Ovis aries: one gene and its partner. The protein of the gene in region 1 purifies or fractionates together with the protein of each later gene. This does not show direct contact. Links are inferred from orthologs where the notes say so. Each region holds a gene or a part of one and is shown in the gene's direction. Other genes may lie near its edges.

The links. The genes of interacting proteins can lie anywhere in the genome.
Region 2: the proteins of STK11 (region 1) and COPS3 purify together in Homo sapiens (affinity purification with mass spectrometry; 5 studies listed by BioGRID and IntAct, with this or other methods). This does not show direct contact. The link is inferred for Ovis aries from reciprocal best matches to the Homo sapiens genes STK11 and COPS3.

What each region holds. Positions count from the first base shown.
Region 1 is NC_056058.1:41,329,414-41,333,546, forward strand, and holds the start of STK11 (serine/threonine-protein kinase STK11), read left to right. Parts: upstream 1-1,314; 5' UTR 1,315-2,402; coding exon 2,403-2,692; intron 2,693-4,133. UniProt on the Homo sapiens protein: Tumor suppressor serine/threonine-protein kinase that controls the activity of AMP-activated protein kinase (AMPK) family members, thereby playing a role in various processes such as cell metabolism, cell polarity, apoptosis and DNA damage response.
Region 2 is NC_056064.1:34,640,522-34,644,168, forward strand, and holds part of COPS3 (COP9 signalosome complex subunit 3), read left to right. Parts: intron 1-209; coding exon 210-302; intron 303-1,479; coding exon 1,480-1,659; intron 1,660-3,647. UniProt on the Homo sapiens protein: Component of the COP9 signalosome complex (CSN), a complex involved in various cellular and developmental processes.

The sequences.
Region 1 (4,133 bases):
ATGAAAACATCTGGGCCTTAATTGCCTTTGTTGAAAGGTTTTTTCCCTACAGATTTAATTTCTCTAATAGATATAAGACTATGCAGATTATCTGTTTCTTCTTCATTGAGTTTTCATTTTAGTGACTTTTCAGGTGTTGGTCTATTTCCTATTGAATTTTGGGCATAGAGTTGTTCCTATATCTAATCCTTTTAGGTCACCTAGTTTTCTTGGTTAGTCTGGACAGTTTTAACAGTTGTTTTGATCCTTTCAATGAACAGTCTTTTGGCTTCATCAGTTTTCCTTGTGTTTTTTTTTTGTCTATTCTGTTTCATTGGTTTCTGCTCTGCTGTTTATGATTAAGGAAAAGGAATTTGGGGCTAATCTACATGTTTTGATTAGGGCTGGCTTGTATGTTGGTGTGATTTGTGGTCCCCCCGCCCCCAAAGCCACAGCAATCCGCTTTCTGTGGGTCTTTTGAGAATCTGATGAAAGTCCTAGATGTCCCCAAGAACACACACAAGGACACACTCAATTTCACGCATAGATTTAGGCAGTCCACAGGTGTCAGGCTCAAAACTCGCAGCCTGGAGCCCAAATCTGATGGTGTCAGACAAGCAGTTTGTTCTGGCAAAATAAAAAGTGATAAAAAACAGACAGGTAGAAAAACCCCACAGGCCCGGAGGAATTTTCAATTTCATCAAGCCCTAGTATTTTACCATCTCTGTATTTTTCATCCAAAGCACTTTGCTGGCACTATGCCCCGTGAGATTCTTTAGGGTAGAGACGGTCCAACGCACTTCTCGCCCCGTCTGGCCTGAGAAACGCTTAATAAAGGCTTTCTGCCTTCAATTGGCCACTTTCGGCTACTTTTTGACCCTTGACCTCGCTTCAAACGAGATTTCGGGGGACAGGCCCTAGCAGGCGCCCACCAGCATCTGTTAGCCGCATCCGGGCCAGCGAGGGCTGCGCTGCCCCGACTCCCGGTTCCGAGGTGACCCTCGGCCTTTGCGAACTCCAACCCCAGCCTTCAACCCCTCCCAGGTCAACGCCACAGCCTCACCTCCCAGCGCCTGCTTCCCGCCCCCTCCACTTGACGGGCGTCTCCGCGGGCCAATGAGCGAGCAGTAACCACCCCTGGGACGGGGCCGAACGAGAACCAATCCCCGCTCCGGGGCCCGCCCGGGTCCAAATGGCCCAATGGGCGGTGGCGGTAGGGTTCGCTGTGGGGGCGGTGCTGGTAGGTTTGGCCAACGGGCGTGCACGTCGGCGCCGCGGGGGGCGGGCCCGCGGCGGGCGTGCGGCGGAGAGGCGGCGCAGGGCGGGGGAGGAGGTAAACAAGATGGCGGCGGCGTGTCGGGCGCGGAAGGGGGAGGAGGCCCGGGGCGCCCGCGACTGAGGCGGGGCGCGGCGGTAGCGGCGGCGGGCGCCGGCCGGCAGAGCGGCCGCCTTGCATGGGCTGGGCCCCCGCGCCGCCCCGCCTGCTCCACGCGCGCGGCGGCCGCGGCGCGATACGCGCCGCCCGGGCCCCGGCAGCCCCGGGAACCCCGGTCCGGGGCCTGCGGCCTGCGCCGCCTGGGCTGCCCGGAGCCCCGCGCGCCCCACTGTCCGCGACCGACGGCGTTCGGGCGGAGAGCGATCGAGGGCTGCCGTTTGGGGCGGGGCGCCCGCCGGGCCCGCGCGGTCGCTTGGTGTCCCGGGCCGGTGTGCGGGCGCCCGAGCGGCGGCTGGTTCGGACGAGCCTTACTCTTTGCAGCCGGCGGGCCCCGGGCAGCTCCGGCGCTGGCGGGAGCCGGCCGAGCTGGACGAAGGTGCCCCGCGCGCTCAGGATACGCACCTGCTGGCGTCTCAGGCGCCCCAGACGGCGGGAGACGCCCCCGAGCTGCGCGCCCTGCTCCCGGCAAAGCTCACCTGCCCAGCTCCGGGAGCCCCAGAGCTGGCCTGCGCGGGGCCCCGGGCGCGCGCCATGGCCCGCTGGTAATGGACGGAGCGGAGAAGACTCGGCCCGGCCGCGTCCGTGTTCGTTCGAGGGTCTAAAGTCCCTGGAGGATGACCTAGCACTTCCCAGCCCCACCGGCCTCCCGAGGGCCCCCGTGGACGCGCCTGCCCGCCCCAAAGCTCCGAGGTCGGGCGGCCCCCAAACTTGGGACGCTGCGCACGCCCGCCTGCCCGGGCTCTGGACCAGCCGCGCCTTTTGAACTTACGTTCAGTACAATCGTTTCTTTTCCAAGAGGGTTTTCCTTTATTATTATTATTTTTTTCCTCTCTTATTTTTTCGATTTTGTTGACTTTATATTTTGGAGAAGGGAATTTTGAGGTGGGACGGAGGTGGGGAGAAACAAAAGGAAGAACCGCTCGCTCCCCGTGAAGTTCACAAAGGGGATAAGGGACCGCCTGCCGGAGTCGGAGGCCTGGAGTTCAGGATGGAGGTGGCGGACCCGCAGCAACTGGGTATGTTTACAGAGGGCGAGCTGATGTCGGTGGGGATGGACACATTCATCCACCGGATCGACTCCACCGAGGTCATCTACCAGCCCCGCCGCAAGCGGGCCAAGCTCATCGGAAAGTACCTGATGGGGGACCTGCTGGGGGAGGGGTCGTACGGCAAGGTGAAGGAGGTGCTGGACTCGGAGACATTGTGCAGAAGAGCCGTCAAAATCCTCAAGAAGAAGAAGTTGCGGAGGATCCCCAACGGGGAGGCCAACGTGAAGAAGTAAGTGCGGGCTTCCTGGGTGGGGACGCGCGCCGCAGGGCGGTCCCCTTCTTCCCCCTTCCCTCCCTTCCTCTTCCCTTCTCTCGGTTACTTTCTTCCGTCCGAGTCGACCAGCCAGAAAGAGTCCTGGGCATCTCTTGGGGGACTTCGGTAAAGTCAGGATCGCTCGTTGCGGCTGGGCGTCCTGCCCTCGCAGCTGCTGCGGGGCCCTCCTCGGAAGGGGGCGCCCCTCTCTCCCTGTGCCCTCTTAGCTGTCCGGAGGGCTCAGATAACCGGCGGAGGCGGCCAGCGTTGGTTTAGCTTCGGAAAACCAAAAGCAGTTGGGTTCCGAAAGGGCTCTGTCTGCCGCCGGCAGGTTTCCTCCTAGCGTGAGGCTGTTACTAGGGCCGGAACACGCCATTTGTTTACCCTGTTGGAGGGCGAAGCTGCGGTTGCCAAAAATAATTGTTTGCACCGGTTTATCAGTCTGCAGGGGCGAACTTGGCCCTTTCTCACTCGCCTGGGATGTGCCACAGGACACATCCACGATTTGCAGGCTCGGTGGCTTCTGAGAAGTGGGGGTCGGCTTGTGTCCAGACAAACTTTTTACACAGATTTTTTTCCCGCGCCTGTCTGGCCATAGGCATCCCCAAGGCGGTGGGAGCCCTGCCTCCGTCCTTTTTGCTGGTTCTGGGAGGGGGCACCCTTTCCTTATCTCTGCTGCCTGGGGATCCCACCCTACCCCAGCCCAGGGCTCTATCTAATGGGCCAGGCGGCAGGACTGGCTGGTGACCTTGGCCGGTCCTGGGAGTGCTGCTCCCTGATCACTCTCACCCCTCCTCCCAGCCCCCCTGCTCTCCGGGCAGTTTGACAGTGAGTGCCCAGCTGCCTCTGTCTGCTGTGGGACACCTGGAGAGCAGGGCAGTGGGGCCAGACCGGCTGCGGACCGTGTCCCAGCCACGGACCCCCAGCAACGGCAGGACCAGGCATCCCAGGGCCAGCCCAGCCAGTTCTCTGTGCCCATCTGCCACCTGCGTGGTGAGGGTTAGGCAGGGGCCACTAGTGTCCTGGGTGAGACAGGCCAGGGGACAGTGGGTGCCAGTGCCCTCCTGCAGGCTAAGTTAGGCCACACTTCTGATCCAATCCCCACTCCCTGTTTCTCTGAGTCACCTTTTCTCCTTAATCCAGAAGTGTATGGGGGAGAGGTGACCCTCAGGCTGCCAGTTGGCCACCACTGCGGTTTGAGGGGCAGTGGGCTTCTGGATGCTGCTGGCAGAAAGGGAATCCCCCCACACACACATTTTCTCCAGGGCTGGTCCTTGTCCTCCTGGCTCGTCTTAGGCCTCATCCCTTGGTCTGTCCCAGGAGTGGGGTGCTGGACTCTTCCAGCCTGGACAAGCCCTCCTGGATGGAGTTGGCGCAGGTCACCCTAGTGTCTGGTGCCTTATGCTTTGCTGCATCC
Region 2 (3,647 bases), on another chromosome or scaffold:
AGCCTAAGACGACACTTTCTGACTGAAGAGAGACAGAAGCTTCTCCAGAGGCTGTGGGAACCCCCGCCTGTCATTTAGAGGAGCCCATCAGTAGGGTCACTCTCATTTAGAGGAGCCTGCCTATAGCGTTACTTTCACTTGTAAGGGACAGCTTAGGACCAGGCATGCCGCCCCACTGAGACCCTAACTGACAGGCCTCTTTCTGACAGCCTCTGCGAGGAATTGGCGTCCTCAGGCAAGCCATTGACAAGATGCAGATGAACACAAACCAGCTGACCTCTGTGCATGCCGACCTCTGCCAGGTGAGCACCAGGGGCCCGGCCACCCGGGTCAAGGTTGGACGTGGTTGGGATGGCGCCATGTTTTAAGTGTCAGAAGCGGCACTGTTGCTGGAAGGGAATGTTGGGGCTGCTGACCACCAGCTGTGGGCTGCCACCCAGCCAGTCAGTGGGATGTGAGAGCAGTTTGGGGTTGGGGGTGGTGCTTGTGACCCTGATAGCACTCCCAGTAGGAGCTCTGGGGCCTGAGAACCAACTGGTGAGTTCTCACACCTGAAGATGTTACTTGTTTGTTTATTTTGTGTGACTCGAAACCCAGATGGCAAAGGAGGGATATGTGTAATGAAGCTGGCCTCTACCTGCTCCCCCGCCACCCATCCCTCCTTTCCGGAGGAAGCTGGAGTTGCTCATTTCTCCTGCAGCCCTCCAGAGACAGTTTAGCACACACCAGCAGATACGTGTATATTTTTGTCTCTCTAGTTTAAACACAAATAGTAGCAATCTATACAATGTCTTTTTCCCACATACTGTGTCCTGGAGATGATTTTGTGTTAGTGCTTTATAGCCACAGAGAACTCCATACTGTGGGTTTAGCCAGTCTCTGTGGGGTATCCAGATTGTTCCCTTGATGAACAACATGGGATGTGGATTATTTCAACCGCGTCTTCTCACTTCACATGGAGGCGTGCATTCTTTTCTCTTTTTTTCTCTTGAAACACTTTGTGGTGGAGGTGTGACAGGCACACGGGAGAGTTTAGGAGTCTCGGGTGTGCAGTGTTTGCACACCCGTGTGTCTGGTTCCACTGTCACCCAGGCCCGAGGGCTCTGCCGGTCCTGCTTTCTTGGGCTGCACATTCTCTGCTCATAGCCAAGGGAGTCAGAGCAGGCAAGGAGAGGTCTGAGAGGAGTTGTGCCCGTGCCACCAGGGCAGCAGAGAGCAGAGCCCACACTCGTGCATCATCTGTAGATGCCTGGGCTTTGCTTTGCTTGTGAGCTCTTCATGTCACAGCCGGTTAGCCTTTTCCAAAGAAATGCTGTTTTATTCTGAATGCCTAAGAAGATGGACGTGTCAACGTTTAAATCATTCTAGTCAAGTCAGATGTAAAGCCAAGCGTTTTCTAGAACCTTCTGTGTTTTCTCCTTTTGCTGATGTGTGCCGAAGTGCATGTGGGGTGATGGCGGCATGTATCTCTCACCACAGCTGTGTTTGCTGGCAAAGTGCTTTAAGCCGGCCCTGCCGTACCTGGATGTGGACATGGTGGACATCTGCAAGGAGAACGGGGCCTATGACGCCAAGCACTTCCTGTGCTACTACTACTATGGCGGGATGGTCTACACCGGACTGAAGAACTTCGAGCGGGCACTCTACTTCTACGAGCAGGTGGTCCCTCCCCCAGCTCGGGTGTATGAGCCTGTGTGGTCAGAGAGGCGTGCCTTGCCTGGTGGCAGGGGCCCAAGGCAGGAAGGGACTCGAATTCTGTCTGGTGCGGGTTGAGTTCTGTGTGTCTCTGGATGTTTGTGGAGCCTAGTGATCTTTGTCACGTCTTCTTGTTCTGAAATGAGGTGTGAAGTTGGGTTAAGTTTTTTGCCTTTTTTTTTTCGGTCCATGCTGCATGGCTTGCAGTATCTTAGTTCCCCAAGCAAGGACTAAACCCTGGGCCATAGCAGTGAAAGCACTGAACCCTAACCCTGAACTGTCGGGGAATTCCCAAGTGTTTCTTCTTTTAATAAGTAGGACATTCTTCTGGTTCATAATTCAGACGTATAAAGGAGTTCGGAGAAAAAAGTGCCTCCCCTCCACCGTTTTGTGTCTGTGATGAGATGTGCATTTCTGGAGGCTCGCTCAGGGCCTAAAAAGACAGGACTGGGAATAAATAGTGTTTTAAGATGAACTCGTCAGATGTTCAGTAGTTCAGTTTGATTCGGAGCGCACGTTCTGGTAATCAGAGGTGCTCTGAACCTTGGAGGAGCTCAGAGTGTATCTGAGATGCTGTGCAAGCATGTGCACATGCCTGTGAGTGGGCGTGGCCTTGGTCAGCGGGACTGACCAGTGTTACTGGGGCCTGGGACAGGGCGACTGGAGGTTCTGCTGGGCAGGCGACGTGACTGATACCAGACAGGCATCTTTTCTTACTGCTTTTCTGAAACATTCCAAAAGATATACTTGCTAAAAAAAAAGAAAAGAAAAAAGAAACACTTCAGATCACGCAGCATTACATCACATGAGTGAGAGCTGCGTCCACCTCACCCCGAGCGCAGGTGGCCCTGGGTGCTCCCTGGCCCCTGGTGGGCAGGCCCTTCAGCAGGTTCTGCTGCTTCGTGTGAAAGCGGTGCTTGTGTCCTCGTGCTCTTACAGGAGTGTTTCTGTGGAATAACTCAGAACGGCCTTAAAGGCCCAGGGGCTTGGATTTTGTTCGGGACATTTGGGCTGATTGGGGTGATAGATTTGGATTCTTAACCTTCATGAATCCATGTGAAAGAATGTAGAAAGGCAGCCGCAGAATAGGAGGAAATACTTGCAGGTGATGTTTCTGAAAAGAGACTCACATCCGGAATGTGCAGAGCTGTGAGAAATTCAACAGTACAAGCCCTGAAGTTTTAAAACAGGCCACAGATTTGAATAGACATTTCTTCAGAGAATATATCCAGATGGCCAGAAGCCTTGATCAAAAGGGAAATGCAGCTCAGAGCCATGGTGTGGCACCACGTCACACAGCAGGCTCTTGTGATGGGGTGCTGGCTGCTGACAGGGGTGTGGGGTTCCTCAAAAGGTTACACCTAAAACCTCCATGTGACCCAGCACTTTCATTCCCAGGGTTGCACCTGAGAGAAGTGACAGCAGACATCCACCTAGACACACATGTGCATGTCCTCGGCAGTGGGAGCCGTGCGGCCAGATGCCCACCCACCGAGGTGGTCTCTGTTTAAGTGGAGCACCGTTTGCCTGAAACAGAATAGGTTGTGACACAGGTTATTTCAGTGTGTGCCCTGGAAGTGTCACGGTGAAGCTGCTCACATAAGACCCTGTGAAGCCATTTACGGGAACTTCTGGCACTCCAGTGGTTAGGATTCCATGCTCTCACTGCCAAGGGCCTGGGTTTAACCCCTGGTCAGGGAACTGAGAGTCCATGAGCTACACAGCACAGCCAAGTAGGGGGAAAAAGAGCCATTCATATGAAATGTCCAGAGCAGGCAAGTCCAACAAGAATTGAAGTGGAGGAGTGGATGGCTGGGGAGGGGAGTATGGGCAGTGACCCCTGCCCGGCAGGGTTTCTTTTCAGGAGGGTGAAAATGTCCTGAAATTAGGTAGGGGGAACAGTTGCACACCTTGGTGATCATGCCAGAGCCCAGTTGTCATTAAAGGCAGTG